Linked DNA regions of Caenorhabditis elegans. The protein of the gene in region 2 purifies or fractionates together with the protein of the main gene of each other region. This does not show direct contact. Each region holds a gene or a part of one and is shown on either strand. Other genes may lie near its edges.

Evidence for each region.
Region 1: the proteins of mig-32 (region 2) and F29B9.1 fractionate together in Caenorhabditis elegans (co-fractionation; one large-scale study listed by BioGRID). This does not show direct contact.

What each region holds. Positions count from the first base shown.
Region 1 is NC_003282.8:4,663,345-4,668,014, reverse strand, and holds F29B9.1 (Protein-lysine N-methyltransferase CELE_F29B9.1), read right to left. Parts: upstream 2,637-4,670; 5' UTR 2,592-2,636; coding exon 2,530-2,591; intron 2,473-2,529; coding exon 2,292-2,472; intron 2,246-2,291; coding exon 2,117-2,245; intron 1,651-2,116; coding exon 1,460-1,650; intron 924-1,459; coding exon 776-923; 3' UTR 724-775; downstream 1-723. Other genes in the region: jmjd-1.2 (JmjC domain-containing protein), read right to left, coding at 3,074-3,129, 3,180-3,917, 3,972-4,344, 4,663-4,670.
Region 2 is NC_003282.8:12,088,662-12,094,396, forward strand, and holds mig-32 (Polycomb group RING finger protein 3 homolog mig-32), read right to left. Parts: upstream 3,553-5,735; coding exon 2,554-3,552; intron 1,779-2,553; coding exon 1,303-1,778; intron 989-1,302; coding exon 814-988; 3' UTR 625-813; downstream 1-624. Other genes in the region: F11A10.6 (Transmembrane protein 115), read right to left, coding at 250-361; cpsf-4 (Cleavage and polyadenylation specificity factor subunit 4), read right to left, coding at 3,751-3,897, 3,944-4,582, 4,632-4,754; F11A10.5 (Protein ST7 homolog), read left to right, coding at 5,716-5,735. UniProt on the Caenorhabditis elegans protein: Component of a Polycomb group (PcG) multiprotein PRC1-like complex, a complex class required to maintain the transcriptionally repressive state of many genes, throughout development. Required for ubiquitination of histone H2A.

The DNA.
Region 1 (4,670 bases), 7.4 Mb from region 2:
CTCAGAACGTTTTTGAAAAGAAAAGTTGCAGAAAAACTTCCGGAAGTCAACTTTTTTGCATAACATTTTCGTCCTTCCTTCTTTCACCAAAAAACGACTATACTTGTGTGTGTGTCGTCGTCAATTGTCTTTGGCACTCTGCCTATACAGACTAATAAAAAACCACCAAGAAGTCACCCAGAAAACAAAAAGAAAACAAGAGAAATATGCATGTTCAGATGGATTAAAGAAATGTGTGAAAAGTGTGCGTACGGGAGGGGAGCAAGAGGTAGAAAACGAACATGTAAAAAAGATTGAATGAATGATTAATGAGGCGACGAAAGGTCGAAAAGAGAAGCTCTTTCACAACGTGGAATCTCTGCAGCTGCTGCTGTTGCTGCTACTTGTGCTCGGAGCCGAAAGTGAGCCCCCATCTTCGGGTCACAAGCACCCCATCTCCTTCCTTCAAAAGGAGTCCCTGGAGACGAAGGAGCTCCCCGCGTCTAAGAAGGCGCCGCCCTATCAAACTCCCATTTTCCGCGAAAAGTAGTCTAGGAGGAGAAGGGTCTGCTGCCACTTTCTCCAAGATCCATCATGCCGAGCAACACTGGCGTTAAAATGATGATGATGATGCACCTGATTAGCTAAAGAGAGAACACAGTGGGAGAGAGATAAGAGAAACCTACTTTTTTTTTATATAACAACTGAGAAACTGAGAAACGATGGGAGAAATGTGGGGGGGGGGGGGGAAGGGGGAAAAGAAATGAACAACAACAATAACACAGAGGAGAGGTGTTTATAGAGTCTTCTTCCGGAAGACGGCACCCGTTGAAGTGACACCTTGTTTTCCGCCAAACGAGAAGCTGTGACTTGCTGGTACTTCACACACGATCTCTAGACTTGTTGAGCCGCCGCCGCCACCGAATTGCGAGCACATCTCGTCGCTGAAAAGGAAAACAATTGATTTCGACTTACAATGGAAGTATTTGAACTTGCATATGTCATTTGAAAGAGTAACTTCAAAAAATTTAGGTGCATACGAGAACTTTGAACTAGAAAAAATCGATCTGAACTCGGTTCAGCTCATTTTTTCAATATTTTTTTTGAATCTAATGAACAATTTGAGACGATTTTTAAAAAATTCAAAAATCCTGACTTTTTTTAATCAAAAAATTTGGTTCAGTCAAAAAAAATTCCGATTTTTTCTGAAACCTTGGAAAATTGTTGGAAATATCTAAATTGATTTTCTTTTTTAAATCTCCCTAATTGAAAAAATACAATTTTTAACTGAAAACTTTGGTCAAAAAATTTTTGGTCAAAAAACAATGCAAATTTTTGATAAACTTTTTAATGGAAAAAAATGGTCTGGAAGCTGTTTCAGATCAACTTTTCTCAGTTTCAAAGTGCTCGTATGCCGCTCAATTTTTTGGAGTGACCTATTTAGAAGTTTCATTTCGAGGCCCTTTTTAGGCCTACTTACAAAGTGAAATTACACGAGAATATCACAAATCGACCGCCAGCGCTCAGACCATTATCAAGAAAACCCAAGTAGGCTTTCAGACGAGCTTCTCGTTCATCGGATAGGCTCATCGCGTCCCATGTGCCTTTATCGAGAATTACATCGAATTTCGAGGAGAAAAAGTCGGCTGGCGGTGTGGTTATGTCCAATTGCTGAAAGAAAACGTTTTTGCTTTGAAATTTCGAGAAAAACAATATTTAAAGGCGGTTTGCAGAAAAAATTCAAATTGGTGAATTAATTTTAAATTCCCGAGCAAATTAATAACCTAGTTTCGACATTTCGCGTTTTCTTCGATTTTCTTATATTTTCCTTAAACTTTTGAAACACCCCTTGTCAATTTTTAGAAAGTTTTCCGCAAAAAAATTATAAATTAAAGTAAACTTAGCGCTTTTCAGGCCTTCTTCCCGGGAAAATGTCTGAAAATTGATAAACGGTGTTTTTACAAAAGAAACCAATCAAATTAGTCGGAAAACGCGAAAATGTCGGAACTAGGTAATTTATTTGCGCGGAAATTCAAAATAATTAGCTATTTTTTCGTTATTTATGCAAAAATTTATGTTTTAGATGAATAAACACCTCTTCTCCGTTTTTAATGATGCAAAATTCAAAAATTTACACCTCAAATTCAATATCTACTAATTCTTCGTCTTCTTCCTCTTCTCGCTCAGCTTTCGAAGCGGCTGCAGAAAGATCAACAGCTTTTTGACAATAATCAACACCTTTCAGACTCTGGAATCCTTTCGATCTCTGAAAAAAAACTGAATTTCAGAGGTTTTGAGCTCGAAATCCATACCAATTTCCTCAAAACCGATCCATTTCCACATCCCAAATCAAGAATCTTTGCATCTTTGCCGGTTTTCGAATCGATTAAATATTTTACGATTCGTGTTTCAGACGATGTTCCGAACCACACCTCTCCCTCATCTCCGTGTTGCTTGAAATTTTTAAGTTCCAACTCGTATCGTTGATCCCAGCTGAAATAAAAATGTTTTAGCCAACTCTAGATGTAAATTTTTAGAATTTTTACTTACAAATCCTTGGTTCCAAGTTGTGAAGAAGCAATTTCAACACTTTGTTCGCTCATGTCGCTCATTTCAAGCTATTTTAAAACCCGAAAATAAATAATAAATTCCAAAATCTGAAAAAAGTAGTTCCATAGAGCTTTTTTTGCATTTGCATTTGCCTCGTTTCTCTAATTCTCTGTTCACTCTCTAGAGAGATCTCTTCTAGGAAATCCAAGTTTAAAGTCTAAAAAGCAGATATTTTCTTGCATTTCACTTTCAACAATGTTCACATCAAGGAAAAAAATTAACATAATCAACGCTTTATTGTGCGTGTGTATTTTCAAACTACAAAAAAATCCCCGTCAGTAAATTCGGGAGATCGTCTTGTACAAATTTTTGGATGCAAAAGAACCGCGTGAAAGAATATGGGATTGTGTGAATAAAACAATAAAACGAATGTAAAAATTAGTCAAAAATACGGGGAAATTACTATTAAGATCGGGGGGCACTTTATAATTGTACGAGATTTATATTTCGTCAAAGTGCACACATATCTTGAGGTAGAGGACGTTCACATTTTGAGCTTCTTCATGAGGCGATCTCTGGAACTCATTTCCTTTTTCTTTGCTGAAAAAAAAAATTATTAAACAGTTCTCAAGGTTTCGATCTTTTCTTACGTGGTGGTTTCTCCTTTTTCTCTTTTGGTTGCTTCGGTGGCTTTGGCTCTTTAACCTTCTTGATTTTCTCTCCGGAATGAACAGCTTCACAGCGCTCCAGTTCGTTGTCAAGCTCGCGGAAGCTTTTCGTCGCCTTTTCCGGAATCTCTTCGACGCGTGCTTCGAGATGGGATCCACAATAGTCGGCCACGTTCTGATTCAACTTTACTTTTCTTCCAGACGACGTGCATTGATTATTGAATATCTGGACAACGCCCTTCTGATCTTCAGTCGGTCCCATTCCAATCTTGATGGTCAATGGAGCTGTAACTTCGGAAGGACCTGCTGCTTCAGGAACCGGAACCTTCTCCTCGGGAACTTCCTCTTTCTTCGCCTTCTTCACCTTCGGAGCATCATCATTGTCCTTCTTAGCCTTTTTCGTATACTTCTTCTTGTAGGCAGTCGAGCTGGACGGGCAATAGTCCTCATCATCCCGCTCCGCGGATTCTCGACTTTTACGTTTCTGCTTCAACCCCATCGGCTTATTCTTGGCATTCTGAATCTTCGTCTGAATCTCAATCTGCTTCCTCACCGAGATCATAATCTTATTCTTGTCGTCAGTGGGCAGGATCGCGTTCTTCTCGGGACCCAATCTCAACTCTCGATCCATCCAGCGCTCCATTTCGGCCTTCATGATTTGTGACGCCGTCCAAATATTCTTCTCCTGCTCACGCATGTCAGAACCTTCCTGATTGGCTTCTGAAATGTAGCGAATATTAGTAAAACCGCTATACAAACTAGTAAATTGCTTACCTGTAATCTTCTCAAGCAAGACGTTTCGCATGTACATCCAATGAAGAAGTTCGAAATTCGGAAAGTAGAACTTCTCCTCGCTTCTAATTTCCTTACGAATCGCGTTTTCGAGATGGTACACGCGCATTTGCATCTCAAGATTTCCCAAATGCAAGAAGTTTCCTCCAAAAACGAGCGAATCGACTGGAGTGAGAACCGCGTGAATCCAACCAGCCGGGATGAGCAGTGTCTGACCTTCCTTGATCACAACTCGCTTAACAGCTCCGTTGGCAATGTCACCGAACCATGTAGTGGTGTCCGGAGATGTCTCGTGTGCTTGATAAGCTGCAAAGTTCTGCTCCGTTGGCGCGGCGATGTAGAAGATTTTCTCGCCCTGAAAATAGAGTTAATAAGCTTTGAGAAAACCAATTTCAGTTGAAAGAAGGGTATTTCGAACATTACGATCCTAAATGTGCTCAAATCAACGAATTTCGTGATGAGGCTTCTCAAAAATGCTTTTAAAATCTCGGAAAATAGGAGATTTTAGCCAAATTTAGTCTTTTTTTTTTAATTTTGAACCTCCAAAAAAACCAAAAAAATATTGAGAATTTTTTCAGAAGTTTCAAACGAAATTCGTTAATTTGAGAACATTTTGGCGGGGTCAGAACGTTCACAATCCGCGGAACCATTTATATTCCTTCAATAATTATACCTTCAAAA
Region 2 (5,735 bases):
CAGCGTTCCTCACAATTGGTTGAAATTTATTAGTTTTTTACCGTTTCATTCAAGATTTTTTAATAAATAAATATATTTTCATCGAAAAACCGATAAAAGTTCCGCAGCAACTAAAACTTTGAAATTACAGTACACTTCAAAGGCGCACACGCATTTTTATTTGCCGTGCTGAAACCAGATACGGTATTTTTGGCCCAAAAATCGCAAAATCTCACGTCTGGGTAATAATAATTATTGGCAAAAACTCACCAATAATTCGTAGCACAACAAGAAATCTGAACGGTAACGCATTATTCCGTAAGACGTCTGAATGCCGTTCCACGACGATTTGCAGATCGCCAAGCACAGCTTTCACTCCCATTTTGTCTGCAAATCCACTCGGCAATGTCTTTCAAAGGAATGGTGTAAACGCTGTGAGCTGGATTCGTCAAGTGCGCCCCACTGAGAACCTTTCTCTTTCACTCTCTCACTTACCAACACTATGTTATCGAAAAGCAGAACAAAATGTGGCTGGTGAAAACAGGAAATAAGCGGATATTTTGAAGGTGACGATAAAATCTCTCTCCAGAAGAAGAAACTTCACGTTTTTCAAATCGAAGAAATTTTAAACCAACAAAAAAATTTAATTAGACACGTGTTATTCATCTTGGGGTTTGGTTGTTTTTGAAAAAAAAATGCAGTTAATAAATATGAAAACATAGGAAATGAGACAAAATATAGAGATAGAGATACATGGTACAGTACTAAAACATGGTAAAACTGGGAATTTGTTCTTGAGAAGTTCAGAAGAAAGAAGAAATCGATAGAAGAAGATCATGTTCTCGTCATATGATATCGAATTATAAGTGGTTCAGATTTGGGTTGACCACGGCGCTTCATCATCCAAACAAAGCGAACCGAAAAGTCTTTTCCCATGAGTTGTCCGTCACAAAACATGTCTAAATCAGAATACCGGCTCTGATCGTCCCATATTTGAAGAGATAGGAATCTGAAAAAGAAGGAAAATTATAAAAAAATTAATTTCCTTAAAATTTTTAACCTGAAATAAATATTTTTTTTACATCTAGAAAAAATTTGTTTTTGAAATTTCGGAGAAATACCAAAACTTTGAGTTGTAATTGAAAAAAAGTAAAAGTGCGGCACGGAAAAATAGGCGTGGTTTCGGAGAATAATGCGCGGAAATTCAACTGAGGAGATCAGTCAAAATCGTCATATTGTTTCAAATTTAATTAATTTTTTCTTTTATGTTATCACGATAAAATTTTAAAAACCAAAATTTGAATACAACTTGAAAAACCTTACTTTTTCAAAGTATTCATAGTAGTCATCTCACTGCACCGAACATACGGTCGAGTGATAAGAGGTAGATTAGCAGTCCCGGGGAGTAGATTAACAGTCACTTGACAATCATCTCTATGATGTGAGAATCTAGGCCTTTCCAATGGATAACATCTATTTGTCCCAGTTATTCGTTCTCTTTCCAGTCGTTCTTTTCTCTCGCGATCTTCGGCTGCCGTATCAATTCCTAGAGCTTCTCGGCAGTCTCTTAGAAACGTTTTCCGTACGTCCAACTCGTTGTTCTCCATTTTTGGCACAAATTGATTGACAAGTTCATTGACTGCTCGATCATAAGTCACGTAATGAGTTGGATGAGATCCATGAATAAATGTTCCACATGTTGGACACGTGTTGTTATCCGATTCAAAATATGTTAGAAGACAACTCTTGCAGAATGTGTGCATACAATCAATTATTGTTGTTGCATCTACGATGTAGCCCTGAAAATATATAATTAAATTCTTGAAATATGGGTTTTTTGATTTTATGCATCTAGATTTAAAGTCTAGATCGTAACGAAAACTTCTAGAAATGAGAATGATTTTGTAGCGGAACCTCGTTATCTTTTTTCCTTTTCATGGGCTTCCAGGGAAGCAAATTATACAAATTTTGTCTCGCCAAGCACTCTGTATTTATAAGACTGTAGGAATAAAATTCACTTTTATTAGTTTTTTTATATAATTTTTTCCTATGGTGATTTCCATTTAGTTTAATGCCTTTGCTTGTGATTGAAGTATTTTTTTGTGAAAAACCAGAAAAATCAACAGAGATTTGTGCGATAATTGTTTAGTTTTCTACAAAAAATGGAATAGAGGAGATCAAACAACTCAAGGAAAGTTATAAAATTTTTTGAATAAATTTTTAACTTGTGTTGGTAATTTCCAAATTCAGATTATCCAAAAAAGTGATCAAATTTCCAAAATTTCTATTTTTTTCAAAAATTGCACTAAAAATTACCGAAAAACACTTCGAGAGGTTATTATTCTCTTTTATTCTGGTTCACAAACACGATGTAATTTTTTTTAATCAAGAAATCCTAATTCTTTTCAATTTTTTTTTATTTCAATCTTTTTTTTTTAAATACAGAAATTTCTGATAATTCAATTCAGAAAACTTCAAATTCAAAGTAAAAATTTAACCGATCTTTAAAGTTTAATTTATGATCTGGTTTTTTTTTTAAATATTTGGACTTATAAATTAAAACTAAAAACTCACATCACAAATTCCACACGTAATGAATGGATTCAAAACTTCCATATTATATTTCACTGTTGCTCTTCGAAAATTGTTCATCACTTTTGGTACACCATCTTCGGCCAAAAAATTCGCTTTTGGAAAATAAGCCATCATTTCGTCCCTCCTTCGTTGATTAATCGATGATATCGGACCAAAATTCCATTTACTGGCTTCTGCTTTGATTTTTCGTTGCCCATATTTCTGCCGCATCGATTCTTCCTTTTCTTGCTCTTTTCTCCGTTCTCTTCGCTCTTTTTTCTTCCGAAGTTTTGCCAGTTTTTGTTCAATAGTTAGTTTCGGACGATTTTTAGCTTCTTCTATCCTCCTCGCTTTACGTTCAGCTCGTTCACGAAGTTTAATTTCTTCTGCAGTTTCTTCTTCAACTGGCTTCTTTTTTCGTTTAGGAGGTAAATTTCTTCCATTCGTTTTTACTGGTGTAGATTCTTTTTCGATTTTCACTTTTGATACTGAATTTACAACAGCCTTGCGTCCTTTTTTCGAAGAAATATCTGATTTTGTTGTAGACGGAGACACCGAACGCGATGGTGATGGACTTGGTGATGTTGGTGGAGTTTCCGGCGGGCTTTCTTTTTTCTTTTTCTTCTTAGTTTGTAATTTCGCTGTCTTTTTGAACGTAGATGGATCAGGTGAATGTTCTCTGGATGTTATACCATTCTCTACTTCTCCATCTATTTTTTCCTCATTTTCATCGTCATCCATGATTTCTTGTTTAACTTGAAAAGATCCTCGTTTTGTCTTATTAGCTGCTTTTCCGCGATTCGTCGATGAATTTCCCCGCTTCAATTTCTTGGTTTGGGATGTCGATGGGCCATCGTAATCATCTTCAGAATCTGCATCAGATTCCGGTTCAGGTGAACGCTTCTTTTTTGAAGAAGGTGCACCTGTTGTTGATCTTCTCGTTACCCGTGATCGAGAAGATGAAACCGGTTCTGCAAGAGCTGGTCTTTTTCGAGTCATCTGAATAATGTTAGCTTAATATAACTCTATAAAATAAATTTGTAATGTTAATCAGTAAAATTGTGGTTTCAAACCAAGAATATTAAAAAAACAACAAATTAAATAATTGGAAGGTTAAATTTTTATTCCAACAGTCTCGAATTCTTGACAAACAACAAAAATAACAGATTCCACCCGTTCTCCTATATTCGACAATGTTCACATTGGCGGCCTTAGCATATTATTGATCCTTCCTTGTTCTTTTTCATCTTTTTCTCTTTGTTCGTGAGCCAGGTGAGCAGTATTTGACAAGAATGCGAGAGCTCCTTTGTGGCATCTGTTGGCGTAGTGACCTTTCTCTCCGCACTAAAATTGAATTATTTTACTTTTTTTATGATTAAAATGAACCTACCTTGTAACAAGTAACATCTGATAGATTCTTTTTATCTGGTATAAGTGAGAGATCAACACGATGGTGATGATCTTGATTTTGTCTTGTTTGTCCTGGAAGATGTGGACATGTAGTTGCCTTGTGGCCTCTTTCATGACAATTGTGGCAAGTAATAGCTTGACTGTATGTTGGTTTGGCATGACTGACAGCTATATTCTCGAATGATGGCAGACCGAATGAAGGATGAGCATATTGACAATCTGGTCCTTGTAGACAAAATCCGGCGAGATAGTTGGGGCAGACTGCACGACGACGATGGCGATGTTTGCAGTATGGTCCATGCCTGCAGAATCCACGATCGTACCATGGACAGTCTTTCATTTTCGTTTCGGGATCAATATGTCGGAATGGGCATTCTCGATTGCTGCACGCGCTGTATTTAGAGAAGAAGAAGCATTCGGGCATTTTTGTGAGGTCATATTCGTGCAAGAATTCACATTGATCTCCTTTCTTACAAAGACCACGAAGCCAATGCTTACATACGACAGCTTTTTCTCCATCGATGTGACGAAGAGGGCATGTTGGACCGAATGGACACATTTTTAATTTGTTTTTCCTACAAACCGCTTTTCCACTTCGATCCAGATCGCGAAAGGGAGCCTGAAAATTGAATATGTGTTGTAATTTTATACTGGAAGAATAATTGTACCTCTTTCATTCCTCTTTGATTGAACAAAGCTTCTTCCACATCAGTCATAGGAGCGGTAATATTCGAAACAAGATCTGTCATGGTTTGAGGAGCGAATAATCTTTGCATCGGATTTAGCTGCATATCCGGAACATGCTGCGCCACCACAATCATCTGAGAATAAAATAATAATTGATTGACTAAAAAAGTAATGATTAATCAACTTGTTTCTCCGGAGAAACAAAAAAAAACTCCAGAAATAAAAATCAGCCAAGCATCAAAGTTGTCCGAGAGGACTACACGACTACGGTAAGCAACGGTGATTGCACAGATTTCAAATAATTGCGTACAAAGTTTCAATTGTTTTCCAATTATCGACTTTTGTTCGATAAATTCTATTTTTATTTCAAACTCTTTTAATTTAAATTAAAAATTGAATTTGTTTTATCCGATGAAACTGTTTTATTCCTTTCTCGTTTTGCAAAATCCTGAGCTAACGGAATTGAAAATTGACACGATTCTTACGTGCATTTTGATATAGGTTGATTAAAAAACGTTTTTTCTAACTAAAAATGTTTATTCTAGATTTAAAACTTTCAAAAGTAAACTCAAATTAGAAACATATGTTTTAAATAATATATTAGCGACCAAGCGTAAAATAATCTGTAAATTCAAAAAGACTAAGGCTGCGAATATGAAAATTTGCGTTTTATGCGGAAATGTTAAATATTTTAGCTAACGTAAAAGAATACAAATTTGCTCAAGGCCGCGGCCGTAGGGTTTGAATTGAATCGATTTCTCGTCCGTCTTCCATGTCTCGCGGTCTCTCTCTCTGCGTTGTTTTGGCACGTCACCAACAACCACCAACCGGCTGTCGGATAATAAGTTGCATCTTGCCTTAAAAGTAATATTTTTGACTATTATTTCATGCGCGGTACAAGAAATTGAGAACTTTCAAACAAAATTAAAGCCTTTTAATTTTAGCTTCCTACACATCACGAAAATGAGCAAAATGATCCGATCAATTTCATCTCTTATCGATTTTTTTTTCTCTCAAAGCCTTTTTAGTTTTTATATTTCCTAATATTGGAGTGTTTTAGGGGTCATGGCCTGTTCATGGACCTT